Cricetulus griseus: one gene and its partner. The protein of the gene in region 1 purifies or fractionates together with the protein of each later gene. This does not show direct contact. Links are inferred from orthologs where the notes say so. Each region holds a gene or a part of one and is shown in the gene's direction. Other genes may lie near its edges.

Region 1 (10,324 bases):
CTTACACTCAAAACAGAATAACTCAGGTCATGGTTGTTGCTTTATAAAATGGATTAATTCATTTTGGTGGCTTGAATGGGAATGGCCCCAATTGGCTCATATATTTTAATTTGGTTCAAAGTTGATGAAACTATTTGGGAAGGATGAGGAGGTGTGTCACAGGGTGGGCTTTGATGTTTCAAAAGCCCACACCATTCCCAGTTGGCTCTTCCTCTCTCTCTGCCTCGTGGTTGTCCCAAGATGTAGGCTCCTAGCTACTTCTCTGGTGCCCTGCCTCCCATGCTCCCCACCATAATGGTCAGGGACACCAACACTCTGGAAACATGAGCCCTCAAATTAAATGCTTTCTTTTATAAGTTACCTTGGTCATTCATGCATTTTGTCACTGTGATAGAAAAGTAACTGAGGTGGCTAGGTGATATTCCACATCGCAGAGTAAGTCAGAGCAGGCCCAGCCTGTTCTCCTCAATATTGGTACTGCAATATGGAAGGTACCTGGGTCACTCCTGGAGGAGAGCCAGTCAACACTCAGGGGGCTTTGTACTAACTTGTTGAAATTGAGGTTGTTAGTGATAGTCCTGAGCATAATATAAATCCACACCCTGCACCAGCTAGTACTCCATTTCTGTTTTCTTCAACACTCTTCCAAAAGTTTATACCTACCACATCCATCAGTCTCTCCTCAACCTGCTTCAACCCAGCTTTATGATCACCGTTTTTATAGCTCAGTTTTCAAGTCATAACTGACCTCCATTTCAAAAAATTATTTGATTGAGGCAGGGTCTCCTAATATAAGCTAGGCTAGCCTTGAACTTCAGACCCTTTGGCATCAGCTGGCCTAGTCCTGGGATTACTGGAAAGTGCTATTCCACCCAGTTTAATTACTCTATTTTGCCAAAATCAAGTTCATTAAAAAAAATCCTCAGCTGCTTCAATTTTCCAAGCTAGCCCTGACGTCAAATATCTGACCTCCTTTTACTATTTCTGCACAAACACTAGTACAGTCAAGGTCTCAATTCCATTACTACAACAGTCTAACTGCTCTGCCTTCACCCCAGGTAGCACACACTAATAGCTTAACATATCAGCCAGGGCAAAATCTGCAAATGTAAGTATATATCAATTGTATGGTTAAGATTTTCCAATAGCAATCATTGACTCAGCTCAAGTATCACTTCCATAGAGTATCCCCTTTAGAGAACCCAGGCAATTTCTATTACTCCAGCCACCTTATTTTCTTTATAGAAATAAAGTAACAAGAATATTTATGTGTTTTCTTTTTGAGACAGGCTCTCCTATAGCCTAGGCTGGCTTTGTAAATTCATTATACAGTGAAGTATGACCATGAACCCCTGCTACTCCTACCTCTGCCTCCTGTGTGCTGGGATTACAGACATGTAACACCCAGTGCTAAAAGTACCACAGGCTGTTCTCTATAAACCCCAATAACTAGCAGCCTTATCCATAGTAGAGTAACAACAGCTCCTGCCCAGCACAAGGTCTAAAAACTTGGTGAGAATTTAAATCTCTCTTGGCTTCAAGATGTAGCTTCCTATTTACTTTTTCTTTAGGTAAAAACAATTAAGCAAGTATAAAATATATTGCATGGATGTGGCTACAATAAAGGCTGAAGTGTCTGAGTGTGTGTGTGTGTGTGTGTGTGTGTGTGTGTGTGTGTGTGTGTGTGTGTTCCAGAGTGCTGGACGTAATTCACCCTACTAATTGCTTTGTTGTTGTTGTTGTTTTTTCTTTGTGGTTTGCCTATGATTGTGTTTAATGAAAGAAAAAACTGCTATTTCTACCTTTTGTGAAGTCACTTTTGAATTGACAGATTTTAATTATTTCCTTAGGAGTGTCCTTCACTTTGGGTACTTGTATGACAGGATGGTTTCTTTCTCTTTTTTTTTTAAATGACAGGATGACATATATTTTAATTATCTAGTTGACTTTTTTTGGCGTCCTGCCAACTGCATGCATTCGGGCACACGTGGAGGTCAGAGGACAACTTTTGTAAGTTGGGTCCTCTTCCTTCCATGGATTGAACTCGGGTTGTCAGGCTTGGTGGCAAGCGCAGTTACTCCCTAAGCCATTTTGTCAGCATTCAGGATGCCATTTTTTTTTTTTTTTAATTTCCCTTTCATACTTGTTTTAGTCAGTAAGTGACTGGAGAGCGCAAGAGGTGGAGCCAGATAACCCTGGGTTATTTTTGTTGTTGAGACAATCCACCTGCCTCAGCCCCTCGAGTGCTGGGAGTGCTTTAAACTGGGCTGGGTAATCTTAAATCGTGCGCTCTTAAGTACCTACCTACGAGCTACTTCTCCAAACCTCAGTCAACTCGTGTATACAATGAAGATGATTTACCAAGAGACCGGGTACCTAAGAGGCAAACCAGACCTGTCTACGAGTACAAGTTCGGGCCCGGCCTTAGCTGGTGGGTATCTCGGTCAAATCTCTGGACGTCCTGTTCACGTACACGGACTGGGGCGGGGGCCTCGCCGCGCAGCCCCTCGGGGCTGAGAACGCTTGGTACGTAAAAGACGTAATGTCGATACAGAGCGAAAATCAGACTGCGGGGGTCCCCGTATGCAAATTCACGCCTTGCAGCCGAACGCGGGCGCCGGCGCTTCCGCACTTCCTCCGAGGGCTCCGGCGGCGGCCGGCGGGCCGGCGGGCGCGGCGGGCGGCCGCGCTGCGGCGCGGGGGCGGAGATTTGCATGTGCGAAATAGGGAAGAGGGGGAACCACCGCTCCGAAAACCCCGGGCGGGCCTCGGGCGGCCGAGGACCCGCCTCCGGCCGAGCGACGTCACGGACACGCCCCTCGTCCCCTGGCTTCAAGCCGCGTTCTGAAGGCCACCGGAGGAGGGGGATTTCTCTGGGGCCCGCGGCTTCTCACGCGCGCGCGCGGAGCCGTCACCGCGCCCGCCGCCCCCCCCCACTCCCCACCCCGGGAGCTCCTCGCGCGAGCGCGCCTCTCGCCGTGGCTCTGGAGGGGAGCGGAGCGCGCGCCCCCGCCCTGGCCCCGCCCCCCGCCCCGGGTAGGCGGTGGCGCGAGTGACGCAAGCAGCGGGAAATCCCCGTTCCGCCAGGCGGTGCGCCCCGCCCCCTGCCCCTGCCGCGGCATCCTGGCAGGGCGACACCAGGACACTAGTGACCCGAGCGTGAAGATTCAGGGGTGGGAAGGTGTGAGCCGCAAACCCACCGGGGCCCGGGAAAGAAGAGGAGGCCCGGGGGTGGGCAGAGGACTGGGGTCGGGCTGCAGAGGCTGCTCGGCCTCCTGACTGACTGACTAGCCGGCTGGCTGGCTCATTGGCTGACTTGCTGGTTGGCGGGCTGGCGGCTGGCTAACTGACCGACTGGCTGGTTGATTGACTGACTGACTGGCTGACTGACCGGCTGGCTGAGTGGCTGACCCGCTGGCTGACTGGCTTGCAGCCTCCGGCCGGACGCTGGAAGCCGCGGCGGGCGGCGCGCAGAGCCGAGCCATGGCCTCGGGTGAGTACCGAGGTGAGCATCTGCGAGTCCCGGGAAGGCTCGGTTTGGGGTTGGGACATTCTGCCTTTCAAGTCGTCTCCTCTGGCAAACTGTCAGCCATTTAAAAAGTTACCTGCTTCGGGGTTTGCGTGCGAAATCAAAGCGGCGCACTGTAATCTGATCTCCTTGTTGTAATAGCCAGAACCTTCGAAATTCCCACCGGCGTGGTTTTAGGATGGGGAGGGGGGCGCGTGAGCTCGATAAAGGAGGCAGACGAGCCTGGCATTTAAAGACCGGCCTTGAGACGCCAGTTTACATCTTTGAACAAAAAGAGGAACCTCAGGACCTCGGGCGAGCTTTCTTTTTTAAATCCTATCGTGCCAGGAGCTAATCGCTCTTGGGCTGACAGTTGTACAGAATGTGGCGCGGCTGTAAGTGTCCTCGGTGGCGTTTTAACTCGTTCCAAGTGAAAACACTAGCTTTTTCCCTCCCTCAGAGCTGAAGGGATTCCTTGTCTAGTTTGCCTCTCAGAGACGTCGACCCCTCTGCTCCCAACCTGCTGGAACATTTTGTTAGCAAGAGGGCGAGACGAGTTGTCGATTGTGCTTTAAAATAACTAGTGGGGAAAATAAAATAACTAGTGGGGATGAAAAGTGTGATCACTTAGTGTAAATGTTTCTTTAGGGGGCCACCTTTATAAGAAAACAGTTTACTTGCTCGCTTTCTGTACAGCAGGGCAGTCATATTAGGCGAGTTCATCCAGCAGCCCCAGGTGGTGGTGGGCGCTTTCCTGGTCTTGGGAACTGAAGCCACACTTTCAGTCTAGCGGGATGCTGACCCCTGATCTTCCCAGTGACCCTTCAGGGTCTCTGAGGAGAAGGCAGCCGACGTCTAGCAGAGAAGAGGAAGTAGAAAGCTTAATGAACTCTTTTAAGAGTTGAACAATGCCATAACTCCTACTGTAGGCCGTAAAGGAAACTGGGGTGTTTCACATGACACTTGATTTCAGTTTGTCTGTGGTTTTCATGAGAAAACAAATGTAGTTTAAAATATTTCAACTTTCTCTTTACCCATTTAAATGAACCCAGACTTTCAGGTAATCTTGTAAATTCGTAAATGTAACTCATGCTCAGATTAAAAACAGAAAGAAGGCTCCAAATATTTCATTAACTCACTGTAACCAGAAAAGATGTTGCATGAAAGTTGTAAAGTGGCAGGCTTTGTTAAATAAGACAGCTCTGCCCTCATCTACTTAACAGGATTTTAATGTAGTACATGAATGTAATACTTGAACTTTTTCAAGAGAAAAATCATTTATTACGTAAAGTACTGTAAGACAGCCATGATTTTGAAGTGTCATACAATTGAAATTTGTCTAATGACACATATTTTGTGCTGTTATACAAATGTTTCCCAAAATTAAACCGGGGGAATTTTTAAAGAATGGCAAGAATTTCAAAGCTGTGTTGGGGTTGTAGCTCTTGAGAGTGAGTTTACTCAGCTTCTGTGAAGCCCTGGGTTGGATTCTCAGTACTGTCAGGGAAAAAAAAAGAAAAGAAATCTGTAAGTTGTAGTGTCGTTATCTTCTTGCTTTTTTCTTAATCAAGGGCTGCCCTAATTAGACTATTTAAAATACATCGTGTCATTTTAATTGTAATTTGGTTAATTGAAACCTCTAGGCAAAATGTAGTTTAAAGGAGTCTGGGTACATTATCAGTTATAAAGACCATATAGAGAAAAAATTGTGAAATACATATAAAATCCCCATTCCATTTGGAATAGTAAGTTAAGAACAACAAAATTTGCTCAATTTATCACTAATTTAGATTATTTTTGTAATATGGTATTGAAACCTTGAAAAGTATTCTTATTGCTTATCAAACATTTAAGACCATTTGTTCATTTCTCTCTGGATGTCATATGTAAATAGGTATGTATAATTGAATAGGTGGTGCCTATAATGTAAAAGTATCATAGATCACAATTGCATAAGCAGAATCATATAAATGCCACAAGTAAACAGGATTTTACATGATGATTCTAATTATTGTTCAGGTAAATTAGCAAATTATTACTTCTTATCTAGCCATTAAGCTGCTTTTCATTGCCCCTATAAAAATACTGTGTTTTGATTCTAGCCTTTCAATATGATTAATTGTAGTAGGCAAATCCTATTTACTCTTACTTGCTTTATGCCCATATTTAAAGCTTCTCATTATTTCTTAAAAAGAACAAAATGGGGGGGCACAGATACCTTGTGTGGCACATATTGTAACTACTAATGATTGATACTTATGTCTTTGGTGAAATGTGCTTTAAATTTTAGAAAGTATGTCTTTAGTCACATTTTTTTCTGTAGTATTATTCATCTGTATCACAGAACAGGAAGTACAGAAAGAAATTATTTTTGTAGATGGTACTAGTCACCAACTTTCTGTATGTGAATTTCAAGGTAACCTTTTTTTCTCTAATAAAAGTGAATGCAACTGAGAGACTGCTTACACTTTAATAATAGAGCTGGAAGTTAGGAGTGGTTAGCCAAAACAAATGACTTCCTTTTTTTTTAAAGTAAGACTGCTCACAAATATTTCAGAAACGAAACATATGAAAATCGATAAAAGTGTTATCAAAATTAGTAATGCATAATAAAGAGAATTAGTGAAGAAAATGAATGGCAAAATCATAATTAGGAACACAGAGTATGTGTGGTGTTTTTCTCAAAAAACAATTTAAGGGACTCAGAATATTTTTGTCTCAATTTTCTTCCATCTGTGTTCTCTGCATAATTGTGTTTATGAGCACATGATCTGAATATTGCAAATGAGAATACATTTATCCAAAAGTAATTGTTCATGTGAAATTTGTATTTAACTGAATCTCTTGTATTTTTAAGTCTGAAATCCTAATAGAGATGATTTGATGCTTCCATGTATTTTTTATTCTAGGAAAGACTTTAAACGTTACTTCCTCATTCTAGCAGGTAAAAACCTTAGGTTTTTTTCCTGTACCCACAGCAGTGAAATCTTACTGCAAAGTGTTTCCTTCCCTTTGATTTGCCTTGGGGTATATATATACATCAGTTGAATGCCTCTTGCTTGAAAGTCAGCAGGATATATTAAATTTCTAATATATATTTATATGTTTGTGTGTGTGTGATGTTGTTGTTTTGTTTTGTTTTGTTTTGTTTTTTTTCTGTTAGGGTCTCATGTAACCCAGGATAGCTATATAGCTATGATGACCTTAAACTCCTGATTCTCCTGCCTCAGCCTCCTGAGTGCTAGAATTTCAGGTGTGAGTGACCAGAAAAAGGATAACTCTTAATTACTTTTTCCCAGAATGAATAGAGATGATATTTGGGAATGTATGATTATTAGCCGTTTGCTCCTTTGGGTCCCAGGCAAAGTCTGTTACATAGGATTTCTATAAGACAGAGGCACTCTGATTGGCTGTTCTCAACTCTAGTTAGTATAACCATCATTTGTGTGCTGTATTGTAAATAATAAAGGAGTGATAGTAGTTCAAAATAATACTTTGTTGAAGAAAGCAGTCAAAATCTAGTTTTAGAATGTTTTCTACATTGCACTTGAATACGCTTTCCTTTTTCTCCTTCCTTCCTTTCTTCCTTCCTTCCCTCCTTCCTTCCTTCCTTCCTTCCTTCGTTCCTTCTCTCTCCCCCCTTTCTTTTTTGTGAGTAGAATAGAAAAAGGAATGACAACTAGCCCTGATTGTTTTACCTGCCTTATCCATAATCTCGTTTGTACTTGGATCTGAACTTTGAGTTGCTTTCCTGAATAACTTCATTGTTATTTTTACTTTCTTGTGTTTTAGAGAACTTGGTCTTCAGAGTATTTAGACTAAGTTGGAAGGCTTTTTCAGAAATCTGTCTGGGCTTTATTCTTGAAGAGCTATGTTTCTCTTCAGATGTCTGTGAGGTTAGGGTATAACTTACTGTTTGGAAAAGCTACCTAGGTGGTTTCTGAAGTACAGCCCCAGGACAAATTTTATTCCAGGGACTACTTTTAATCTAAATATTTGCCTTGTGTTCTTCAGGTAGCTGTATTGATTTTAGATTATAGGTTATAGCCATATCTGTTGTTGTGATTTTATGCTTAACTGCTTTTTTCTTGTTATATAAGTAAAGTAATTGATTTTATTCAAAACCTTGGTTGTAATTATATCTCTTCAATTTAATGACTCCTATGACTTTTGTTCTTTCAACAAAAAGATCTCATGGAACAATGTTACTCTTTATCATTCTTTTCATATCTCATCTGTGGTCATAGACCCAGAAGACATCCATTTGGTAGTCAGATTTGTTAGCTTCTTGGATTATGACTTCTTCACTAATATATTATCAAAAATGATTAGTGTGCATATGTGTGTGTGTGACAAGGCATAGTGCTGCATTCCTTTAATCCCAGCACTTGGGAGGCAGAGGCAGGCAGAGCTCTGAATTCAAGGCCAGTCTGGTCTATTAAGCAAGTCCCTGGCCAGTGAGACTGTCTCAAAAGATAAACAAAAAGGAATAGAATAATAATAATCTTTTTCTCAAAATTTCATATTATTTTCAAGTTTAGTTTTATTGTCTCTAAAATGAGATAATAATACCAGTTTTCCTTATGAAGTTTAAAGTTAAGAGGACCAGTGAGAAATACCTATGTATGTTTTAATTAGTATATGTGCACTTAATTCTAACTTCTAATTCTAGCAATAACATTTTAGTAGATATGCCTATTATATATATAATTTGGACAATTGATCTATTTCTAACATTTCGGTGTAATTTCTTTTTAATTTTAAAATCTCATACTTGAATTAGTAAATAGAAATTAATACACAAGTAAATAGTAAATATTAATTAGTAAATAGTAAAAGGAAATGTAAATAGTAAAAATTAGTAAATAGTAAAAAGAGAGTAAATAGACTCAATGTTTTCAAAGAGCATTCCTTTTTGCCTAAGTGCACATGAAAACTTTGCAAGCATTTTAGCTGTAATTCAAAGGTTATTCTAGTCAGTATTAGCATTTACAATGCAATTCATGATATAGGGTTCAGTCCTTACTTTACACTGCCCTGGTTAAAAAAAATTAAATTGTTTAGAAACAATTTTGAAAACATTTCTATGCTTTTAAGAACTGTAGTGACTTTCGGTAATCTTGGTTAAGAGTATTTATTTTCCCTAAGGTTCCCTGATGTATAATTTTCTCTTCTTCCCTTCATTGAGGACTACATTTTTGCATCTTTCATCTTCAGGAGGAATGGCATTGCAAAACAGTACCAGGGAAGGATATGATTGGCTCATTGTACTGATATATAATACAGACAGTTTCATAGCAAGGAGGATTTTAAAAGTCATAGATACAGTTAAGATATGAACATATATGAGAAAGCATGAAGGTGTAGTTCTAGTGCCTACAAAGCAATATTTTTTTCAGTTATAGAGGAATCTAATAAGGAGGAACTGATAAATCATTTATACAGTACTTTAATTTTTGAATAACTGACACAAAAGAGCTTTGGGATTTTAATCTCTCAACAGATGTTAACTTAAGGCATTAATAAGTAATACAATTTCTGTGATTCAGTAACTTGAAGAAGTAAAACATGTAGCATTATTTCAATAACAAAGCTGGGTGTAGTGGCAGAAATCTGTAACCCTGGTACTTGGAAGGTAGAGAGTCTAGAAGATCAGAAGTTCAAGGAAAGCATTAAACTACGGATTGAGTTTGAGGTCAGCCTAAGTTACTTGGGATCCTGTTTCAAAAAAAGGATGATGTAGCTCAGTTGGTAGAGTAGCTGCCCAGTATTTGAAAGTCCTGGATTTGATCCCCAGCACTGTACAAAGCTCTTTGATAGTGGAAACTGTAATTTCAACACTTGTTCAAGGCCAGCCTAGGCTACAGAACAACTTAGAGGCCAGCCCTAAAATAAAATCCTGTCTCAAAAAATAAAGAACACGATAGTTAATTTTCTTAAACTAATGTTCTTTGGAATAATTCTGTAAACAAAAATATATGATTATTAGTTTATAGAATTGTTTCTCATCCTGTGGGGCCGCATATCAGATGCCCTGCATATCAGATATTTACATTATGATTCATAATTGTAGCAAAATTACAGTTATGAAGTATCGACAAAAATAGTGTTATGGTTGGGGGTCACCACATGAGGAAAGTTATTTCCAATTGGGGGAATGTATATAAGTCAGATTATAAATTCTGAAACTTGGTTTTTAGTGAGGCTTGTTATCAATGAAGAATTTCTTTCTTTCTTTTTTTTTTAATTTGGCTTTTTGAGACAGGGTTTCTCTGTGTATCCCTGGCTGTCATGGAATTCAACTCTGTAGATCTGACTGGCCTCGAACTCAGAGAACCACTTTCCTCTGTGCTGGATTAAAGGAGTGCACCACCACCAACCAGCTCAACGAAGTTTGTACAAAAGGAAAAATAAATATAAATGCATGACAATATTTAAATAATTCTTACTACTTTAAGATATTTTAAAATAATCTTTTCAACAACTAATATTACATTCCTTTGTAATTCATAATTTCATAGATATACTTACTATTTTAAAGAAATGTGTAACTTGCTTTGAATGTACCTACCATGTTTTTTATACTTCTTCAAAAAAGTTAGCTACTATTAATGAACTAAAATTAACTATATATTAATTTTATATCAATTTCTACCAAAACACCTTTTAAAAAGTAGTGGGCTGGGATTTATTTGACCTTTTAGTTCAACCACATAAATTCCTTAAGATGCCACTGAAAAAAAGTCATGTTGACTTTAACAGAATTGAAAAGAAATGTATGTTCTCCTAAATAGTCTTACAAGAACATAAGATATA
Region 2 (10,324 bases), about 20 Mb from region 1:
TCTGAGGCTCTTGTCCTCAAGCCTTTGTGATCATACTGCCCCCTTGTGGACACTTACATGGACGGCCTCTTGCACCTGTGAAGGCTAAGGTCTGGGGGCTTGACTTCTGTGTATGTTGGTGATTCCCACATACAACATTCCGTTAGAGCAGTGTGTGTGCATGAGTGTTGAGGTGTGTTGGCATCAGTTAGGCCAGTCACCAACCTTACTGGTCACAAACCCACGTATGAGCCTGGTCCTGGGAGGTCTTTTTTCCCTACACAGCCTCCTTCTGGGCACAAGGACAGGGCTGAACTCCCAGCTTTTAAGATGAAGCAGGGGAGAATTAGGAAACCTTGCAGATCCCAAAGGGACCTGTGTGTGAGTCCATCAGCAAATTAAGCTAGAGTTAGCTGAGTGGCCTGTCCACCTGCTCCACTGGGATCACCTGAAACCCATGGCCCATCAGGACCTGGAATGAAATGCAGTCTCTCTGAGGGCCTGGAGAGCTTCAGTCTTCTCCTATCCTACACTTGGGTACCCTGAGAACCCTCCCTTTTGCTTGTTTCCCTTTCTTGGGAACACAAGTGCCAGGCTTCTCTTCATCTTTCACATTAAAATAGATATACCACCTCCTCTTTAATCGTCACCCCCTCCCCAACACAAATGCTCACTTTGGAACCAAGCTGGTCTAAAACTTATGATCCTCCTGCCTCAGCCTCTTGGATGCTGGGATCCTAGGTCTGTGCTCTGGCTCATCTAATCACCCTCTTTAAGGTGGGTTTCCCCACCCCCTCATGGTCCCCACATATTTCCCCCTTTTTTTCCTTACTGCATTAGTTACTTTTCTTGTTGTTGAGTCAAAATACCCAATGACAAGCAACTTAAGGGAGAAAAGGCTTACTTTGGCTCCTGGTTTGAGGGTACACAATCCATCATAAGGGGAAGGTATGGCAGCTGGAGCATGAGGCCACATCCCAGGAAGCCAAAGGAGACAAACATGGTACTCAGCTCACTTTCTCCTTTTTATTCAGCCCAGATCCTGGTGCAAGGGATGGTTCTGCCTACATTTAGAAGGGATCTTCTTTACTCAATTAATCCTTCCTGGAAACCTCCCACGCTCCCAAGTATGTTCCAGTTAATCTGGTGGTGATTATTAACCAATATATGTATACAAACTTCCCCTACTTCTTGGACTGGGCTTCTGTCTGCAGTATTAGAACATTTACCTATAATGCCCAGTAGTGGTGTAGAATGCCTTTAATCCCAGCATTTGATGGGGGCTTGGGGAGCAGAGGCAGTTGGATCTCTGTGAGTTTGAGGCCAGTCTGGTGTACAAGTTCCAGGACAGCTAGGGCTATTACATAGAGAATCCCTGTCAAACAAACAAACAAACAAATAAAAAACCAAACAAAACAATTACAAAAACCAAACAACAGCAACAACAAATCTCTAAATATAAATCTCTAGGGCCTAGGTCCTGTAGCTGAATTTCAGTTAAAGATGTGTGTGTGTGCCGGGAACTTTCTGTGTTAACTTGAAGACTCTTAACCATGCCATGGAAGGTAAGTGTTCTTAGAAGTCTGCAAACTCCATCTACAGTTCTACAGTCCCCAAGAGCTCAGAAACCCAAAGTGTTTCCTTAAAGTTGGTAATAAAGCTGACAAGAACATTCTCATACTTAACTTGAATGGCCATTCCCTTTGTATTTTCAGAAACTGACTTGTTCTGTGGGCTGAAAGATGCCCCCAGAGGAGTCCTAAATTGTATGCCAATTGCTAATGTTCTGTTACTATGGGGACGGTAGCTTTATGTATAATCCAAACTCAGGAAGCTAAGGCAGGAAGATTGCCAAGAGTTTGAGGCTAGACTGGTTTATAAAGTGAGTTCCAGTTTGGAATACAGAGTGGGACCTTATGTCAAAATAAAGGACAAGAAAAAATTATGGGTGCTGGTGGCATGTGCCTTTAATCCCAGCACTAGGGAGACAGAGGCAGGTGGATCTCTATGAGTTCCAGGCCAGTCTGGTCTACATAGAATTCCAGGCCAGCAAGGGCTACAATATGAGACTCTGTCTCAAAACCAAAAGAGGAAAGAGGAAAACAAAACAAAACAACAGAAAGATCTTCAAGGGAGCCCAGTGAAACAGATAGCCTGAGAATCTGATTTTGGATTCACAGCACCAATGTAAAAGCCAAGCACGATCACACATCTATGACTCTAGCATGGGGGTTGAGGGTTGGAGATAGGTGGATCCCTGAAATTTGCTGGCCAATCTGTGAATTTTAGGTTCAGTGACACACTGATACACCTTGTCTCAGAAGATTGATAGGGTGAACAGAATTTAAGACACTCAACACCAACACACACACACACACACACACACACACACACACACACACACACACACGTTATGTATACATATGTGAAGGCAGGGTTGAAATGAGTTCACCAGACAAAAGATAAATGATAAGTAGGTGTTTTATTAGGGAAGAACTTACACAGATAAGAGTAATAACCTCTGTGGCCTTCCTGCTCCAGGAGATGCAGTCTCTGCCCTTCCGATGATTTCCAAGACCCAAGAGAGTGTGTGCCCACAGCTCCTCTACCTTAAAGGGGTCACCTGAAACCATGCCCAAATGGTGTGGCCACTATTACACATTCACTGGCAAGATGCCACTATAATTCCCCTTTTTGTCTAAAGAAGAAGGTTTAAGCCTGATACAAAAACTATATACAATGATAACAAATGTCAAGTATATTCCAGGAGAAGGAAAGGTAAAAACATACACAAATTAAGACCCACAACCAGCAAGAGCAATATTGAGCAATAGACACATTCTACATGTGCAGTTTCAGGGTAATGGCATATAACAAAGATTACTCTAATAGCTGTCCTAATCTGGAAAGTCTAAGTCTTGTACCTAGTATTTTCTATCTAAGATAAGAGAGGATATTATCTGTGACTGTCTAGCCTTCAACCTCATTAAAGACCTGAGAAGGACAAGAACATTACTAGGGTAGGCAGGAAGTGCAAGTGTGTGACTTCCTAAAGGTGCAAGAGAAGACAGAAACAGCAGGCTACCTGGACAGTCACCCAAGGTCTCACAGTAATGTCCAGACAACCAACTTTGGCTAAGGCCTAGAGTATCAGACAGACCATCTCAGAAGGAGGGAAATTGAAAGACTGTCTTACCCTGACTTGGCAAGGTTTAGCAGTTTAAGTTTATCTCCTGCTAGCCCAGTTAGGACAGCGTGTCCAAAGTCAGTTGTTGCAGTGGGGGCAGTTCTTTGCCCAAGAGGCCAGTAGCCAAGAAGAGAACAAACTCCAAATGGAGTGTCATTGGTGTCTATCATACTCTCGGGAATAAGTTGGTGCTGTCAGGAGCAATTATGTCTCATGTCAACGGAGTTTTAAATTATTAAAACATTTAAATGCCATATTCTGTAGGTCTTTGAAGTGTCTGAAGATCAAATATCTATGTTGGGTACATCTTTGAACACATATAGAACCTCACTAACATCATTAGGTATAAGAAGCATGGGTAACTATAATCTGTAATTTTCAGAAACATAATTGCTCAGTGACTGAAGCTTCCCAAAATAATTTAAACAATCTTAAAACTGGTGTGTAGCATTAGGACAATGACCTCAAATTTGTAAATTTAAACATATATGTGTGTAGCATTAGGACAATGACCTCAAATTTGTAAATTTAAACATATATATGTAAATTTCTAAAATAGAGGTAGAACTGAAATGTCTTGGCTAGAGGTAGAACTGTATAGTGCAACATAATAAAAATATCCTAAATTATATCAATATACAAAATATCTCAAGCATATGTAGAAGCATACATACATAGAATATGGTAAAGAAAGTTTTATATTTGTGCACAAAACATCATAAACAGAAAGAAGAAGTCTACATAGTATGACAAATATAATATACAATTATCCAAAACAGGAATACAAAGTTAATTTTACATAAGTTTTAACATATAAGAATCGGTAACAATGTAAGTTGTCTATAGCTAATAGTTGCTAAAATAATTCACAAGAAGATATGTTAATCTCCATCTTCACATATACACACACATATCACACACATATTCACACTTATTTTTATTTTATGTGCATTAGTGTTTTACTATGGGTGTCAGGTCCCCTGAACTGGAGTTACAGACAGTTGTGAGCTGCAAGTGGGTGCTGGGAATTGAACTCAGTTCCTCTGGAAGAGCAGTCAGTGCTCTTAACCTGTGAGCCATCTCTCCAGCCCCCTTACACACATTTTTAAAAGACACCCCCCATGCTAGCAGCTTGAAACATTACATTTGTTACTTTGCAGTTTGTTAGGCGCCTTGGAGCAGTATACCTGGGAAATAAGGTACAGGAACTTCTCTGAGATGGAAGCCAACATATGAGCTGGGCCTGCAATCTCTCAGAGACCTCACCGGGGCCAGATGATTTAGTTCTAAACTGGTTCCTTCACTGAAGTGGACAAACTGGCTGAGTCAATAGACAAAATGTGTCTCATGGCTTTGCTACAGCGGTCTCCCACCACCATTTCCCCCAGCGGCCTCTCAGTTACAGACATCAAGTACTACTACTTTTTGTATGGGGGCTGTATGCATGGATACTGGGAAGAGACCTCCATTTTAGAGGGTGGTTACCTCAGTCATACGTACCTACCTAAAACCAAAGCTTTTGAACTCCAAACACATATGACCCAGAGTGTGTTGGAAGTTTCTGGGTTGTTTGGTGTTTATTTTTGTAGTTCACAATTGGGATCAAAAGCACTTACCCCAGGCTACATATGGCACTAACAGTGAAGACTTAAAAGCACAAATCAGCTCTGGGCTAGGGTTCTTTTGTGTGGTGCCCTCCCCTGCCCCTTCCTCTTTATCCTGCTGCTGCCTCAGTCAGTCAAGATGTACTCTTCATGGCCAATTAAATGTTGTTTTGCTTATTTGTTTTGTTTTTTTGAGACAGGGTTTCTCACATAGATCCACCTGCCTCTGCCTCCTGAGTGCTAAGATTAAAGGCATGTGCTACCACTGCCCTGCTAAAATGCTTTCTCTTTTAAGCTGCCTTGGTGGTGGCATTTTTGTCTCAGCAATAGAAAAGAAACAGACACACCCATTCTCTAGTGCCACAACACCCCTACCACGTAGGGAAGACAGTATCTTTTCTGAACAGGAGTCTTGGCTCTGAGGACTAAAAAGGAGCTGACCATAGGTAAGCCAGGTGTGCCACTCCCAGTGTTCATCCCATAAATACTTGGCAGGGAGGGTCTAGCTTTGCTTATAGTTTGATACTGCAAGTGGGTGAGTTTCTACAGGCTCAGCCAGACCTTGTCTGTGGACCACACCAGGGGAACAGACAGGATGCTGAGCACAGGAGACTGAGCAAAGAAGGAGAAACACATCCTCACATGAAGGGACCCCCATGAGACCTTAGCAAGGCCCTTTGGAAGATCCTCACTGCGGGGGGGTGGGGGTGGGGTGGGGTTGGGGGAGGAAGCACTTCCCAGAGGGAAGACAGCGTTTGTATGGAAGCTGTGGGAAGGAAAGCGATAGTGCCCTCCTGTCTTCTGTTCTAAGAACAGCTTCTAGCACTAAGGCAGTTCTAACTCGAATTTAGGGGTACTCTGGGGTCTGGTGGCTGGCTCTGGGACCCAGCAAGCATTCTGGATGGGAAGTCCTCTCTGAGCTCAGTGTCCCTACGTGACGAAACGCAAGCCAAGTCCCTGGAGAGGAAGGAGCCCAGCCAATGAAACCTTAACTACACCCCACGTCCAATGTTTGAAGTAATTTGATTTATTTGCTTTCCTTCAGCAGCTGTGGCAGAGGAAACCGAACCCCAAACCCTGGTCGCAGACTGGGTCTGACTCCGGGAAAATTTCACAGACGGAGGGAATAGGGTCGCCGCGACTGTAGGCCTAGGATAGCCCCCAGAAGGAAGCCTCAAGACAGGGTAGGACCGATGAGTGGGAGGGGGCGGAGTCAGACTCCGGGCAGTGAGTGAGGCGGAGCCAACTGTGGGTGGGGGCGGATTAGGCTCCGGGGGAGTGGGCGGGGCGAGGCGGGAAAAGTTCCGGGAAGGTCGGTTGTTGCTCCCGCTAGGCGCAGAAGTTCGAGGATCCGGGGTCCCCGAGAAGGTCCACAGCCATGTCGTCTGGGGATGCAAGGACTGGCAGACAGGACGGTGCCCCGCGCGCGGCCGCCGCGCTCTGTAGCCTGTACCACGAGGCCGGCCAGCAGCTGCAGCGCCTGCAAGATCAGCTGGCCGCGCGCGACGCCCTTATCGCGAGCCTCCGCACCCGCCTAGAGGCTCTGGAAGGGGACACGGCGCCGTCGCTCGTGGACGCGCTTCTGGATCAGGTGGAGCGCTTCCGTGAGCAGCTGCGGCGGCAGGAGGAAGGAGCCACCGAGACTCAGCTGCGCCAGGTTCGGAGCGGGCGCTGCTGCCCCGGGAGGCCTCGGGAGCTTGTTGGAGTGTAGCCCGAGTCCGGTCCTGATGGTCGCGCTGATGATATGAGGGTGCGAGGATATGAGGCGTGTGGTGCGGGTCTGAAGAGCGTGAGGTCCAGAGGCATGGGCGTCTAGGGGGAACGCGGGGGTCTGAAGGGAGCAGGGTTGTGAGGGGGCACGAGGTCCTGAGACTCAAAGGGTCTGAAGGGCGCGGGGGTCTGAGACACAGGGAACCCTGAGGGGGGGTCTGAAGGGCGAGAGTATGTGGAGTCCAGGGTCCTGAGCGGTTGGAGATTCATTTAACGCACAGAGGTGAGCAGGTGTCTCTGGGACACAGGTTTCTGGTGAGCACCAGGGTGTTAGGGATGCGGACATTTGAGAAGTACCCGGTCCTCAGGGGCTCAGGTTATGAACAGTTCCGAGGGACATATAATGGAGGTAAGTTTGGGAGAGACCCCCTGGGTCTGTCGACTTTGAGGGGCACTGTTGAGGTAAACTTGCTCATGAAGTTCTGTGTGGCAGATCTGAGGAGCAGGAGGTTATCCTGGAATGCAGGGATCTGTGGAGCTTGAGGTACTGAGGTAGTCTTGAACACATGGTTCTGTTGGTAGTTAGCTTCTCCAATCTGTGCTCCAGACCCCAAAGGGGTGTGTAGCTGTTTTCATCACAGCTCTGTTGCTTTCAAGAGATATCATGACCAAAGCAACTCTTATAAAAGAAAGCATTTCAATGGGAGGGGGTTGATTACAGATTTAGAGGGGTTATTATCATGGTGGGGAGTATGGCTGCTCGAAAGCAGGCATGGTGCTGGAGTAGTAGCTGAGAGCTACATTCTGATCCCTAGGCAGAGAGAGACAATGGGCTTGGTGTGGACTTTTGAAACCTGAAAGCCCAGCCCCAGTGACACAGTTCCTCCAACAAAGCCACACCTCCTAATCCTTCTCAAATAGTGCCATCCCCCCAACTAAGCATTCAAATATATGAGTCCATGGGGGCCGTTCTTATTCACACATCAGGGCACTTGGTTTGAAGGAGATGGAGTTCTGAGCAGGGCTAATGTTCAGGGTTCAGAGGGTGCAGGGTTTAAAGGGACACTATAGGTTCTGAGGCATGGAGCCTAGAGCGTCTCAAGGACATACAGGCATTGCTTTTTGACAATGTGTGTAGGTTCCAGTGTGTATGTGTGTTGAGTTGTGGGAATGCAGGTTTTGTGTATTGTGTTCTGTCTTAGGGAGGTCTTCTGTAGAATGTGGGTTTCTGAACCTTGTTTGGGGCGCCAGGGACCTGGGAGATGCAAGGGTTCAAGGGATGGAGCTCTGAGAGAGAAGACCCATGCCTTTGATTGGTGGCTTTTAGTATTATATTGCAAGAAGTGACAGGAAGAGCCTGTCAAGTATGTGATAATTTGTAAATTCTTTGGTTCTCCTTGTCATTTGGTGTTATTTGGCTTCTGTGAGATACCATAAGCATACAAAACTGAACCAAGGGAAATGTTTTTCTTATAAATGTTATTTGTAAATCAGACACCCTCCCCCCACATTTGGATTCATACTGGCATGTTACTGCATTTGGTCCATAGCTATCCTGGTTTTCCCAGCAAAGAAAGTAAGCCTGCCTGTAAGGAGAATGTTTGTTTCCAAGATTTCACCACCACAGCTAGATTTTTCTTTCTTTCTCCTATTCCTACTCCCTTTGGTGTTAGGGATTGACTTAGAGCCTCACACATTCTAGGCAAGTACTCTACCATTTAGCTGCATCTCCAGTTCTCTTTTTACTTTTTAGTTTGAGACCTGGTCTCACTAAGTTACACAATCTGACCTTAAACTCACTGTGAATCCCAGGAAGGCCTTGACTTTGGATCCTCCTGCCTTAGTCTCCCAAGTAGATGGTATTACAGGACTTTGCCACCAGTTCTGGCCACATCAAAATTTAAGAGGGAAAAAATGCATTTTTTTTTCTGATGGTAAAATTCAGAACATCTGAAAAATAAAGGCAAGAATAAAATAATCCCACATGCTTTTTGCACATGGCTTGCCTGTTTTTCCTTTGCAAAGACATATATTCTTGGTATTGTTGAGTTGACCCTTATTATACAGATTTACTTTCTATTACATTGTCATTGTTTTCTATATGTATTATTTAAAGCACCAAGAGCATCCAGATGTCTTCCACTCCACTTCTCCCTCTTTCTGGAAGGAGAGTTGTAAAATAGAGCAGAAGGGAAATGTAGAGTTTACCTCGTCTGTGCCACTAACTTAGTGTTGTGCACATCAGAAGCCACAGATGAGTACAGAGTGGAGCTCTGAAGACACCCCAGAATGTGTTATCAGAATATCAGTGGGAACAGTTGGGGTAAAAGAGCTCCCCATAATCATAACAGAACTGAATTTGCAGCCTGGCAGCCATTGGTGTTCAGTGCAGATGCATCCACAGGAAGCTCTCTAGAGGCCCAGACAGAACCAGTCTGTGGTTCCAGTACTACTGGTCCTTCGTCCTCTGACATATGGGTTTTGTTCAGGGATTTTAAGACTTATTTGCAATTTTATTTAGGAAATTTTGTTAACATTGTGGTGACTTTAAATGTTACAAAACTATTGCATGGCTTCTTAGTTTGCCAAAACAAATTGACTAAATGTATTAGCAGTAGACATATGTATCAAAAATTACCCTGTCAAAATAACTCTGAACAATCTGGGCAATGGTGGCACATACCTTTAATCCCAGTGCTCAGGAGGCAGAGGCAGGTGAGTTCGATGCTGGAATGGTCTACAAAGTGAGTTCCAGGACAGTCACACAGAGAAACTTGTCTCAAAAAACAAACATAACAAACAACAACAAAACAACCAAAACAAAACAATCCTGTTCATTTTCATTTCAGAGTTGTTTTTTTCTATGATATAGCTTCTTTGGTCATGTGGTTTGCAGAGGTATGCACAAGATAAGGCTAATGTAACTAATATAATACATTAGTTATTAATGGAATACATTCTATGACTATATACTAGTAACTGTCTTAGTTACTTTTCTGTGAAGAGATACCATGACCAAGGCAACTTGTAAAAGAAAGAATTTAATTGGGGTTTTGCTTACAGTTTCAAGGATGAATCCATAACCATCAGATAGGAAGAGAGGCAGCAGGCAGGCATGGTGCTGAGCAGTAGCTGAGACCTGCATCTGATCCACAGGCAGGTGACAGAGGAAGAGACTGGGCTTGGTGAAGGCCCGCATCCCAAGTGACTGGCATACCTTTTCCAACAAGGCCACGCCTCCCATTCCTTCCCAAAACAATTTCACCCAACGAGGGACCAAGTATTCAAATATCTGAGCCTATGGGGGCCATTCTCATTCAAACCACAGTAACTAATGTAATACATTCTATGATGACAAATATGTGTGAGCACAGTTTTGGCAAATGTCAAAGAGACTATGTGCTTGTCATATCAATGCAAATGCAGTAGCACTTTTAAATTTCTTACCATCTTTTTCTTACCTCTTAATGGCATTATATTCTACTAGTAAATGCAACATGGTTATGCTTTAAATCATTTGTTCTTCATCTGTAACAAAGGAAAATAACTGCAGCTGGCCTTAATTTTAAAATCTAATAATGTGGGTCTAGAAAGAAGCTCAGCAATTAAGAGTACATACTGCTCTTGTAGAGAACCCAAGATTGGATCACAGCATCAAGAGGCTCACAAGTGCCTGTAACTCAAGCTTCAAGGTTTTGTTTTGTTTTTGTTTTTTTCATCCTCTCTGGCCTCCATAGTAACTTGAATGCACATATACATACTCACATACAGATACATAAATTAAAATAAAAAGCTGTTCTGGGCAATGGTGGCACACACCTTTGATCCCAGCACTTGGGAGAGG

What was found.
Region 2: the proteins of Rel (region 1) and Tnip2 purify together in Homo sapiens (affinity purification with mass spectrometry; 3 studies listed by BioGRID and IntAct, counting the BioPlex papers as one, with this or other methods). This does not show direct contact. The link is inferred for Cricetulus griseus from reciprocal best matches to the Homo sapiens genes REL and TNIP2.

What each region holds. Positions count from the first base shown.
Region 1 is NW_023276807.1:83,004,132-83,014,455, forward strand, and holds the start of Rel (proto-oncogene c-Rel), read left to right. Parts: upstream 1-3,072; 5' UTR 3,073-3,483; coding exon 3,484-3,505; intron 3,506-10,324. UniProt on the Homo sapiens protein: Proto-oncogene that may play a role in differentiation and lymphopoiesis.
Region 2 is NW_023276807.1:103,495,810-103,506,133, reverse strand, and holds the start of Tnip2 (TNFAIP3-interacting protein 2), read left to right. Parts: upstream 1-5,810; 5' UTR 5,811-5,954; intron 5,955-6,059; exon of another isoform or gene 6,060-6,103; 5' UTR 6,104-6,148; coding exon 6,149-6,427; intron 6,428-10,324. UniProt on the Homo sapiens protein: Inhibits NF-kappa-B activation by blocking the interaction of RIPK1 with its downstream effector NEMO/IKBKG.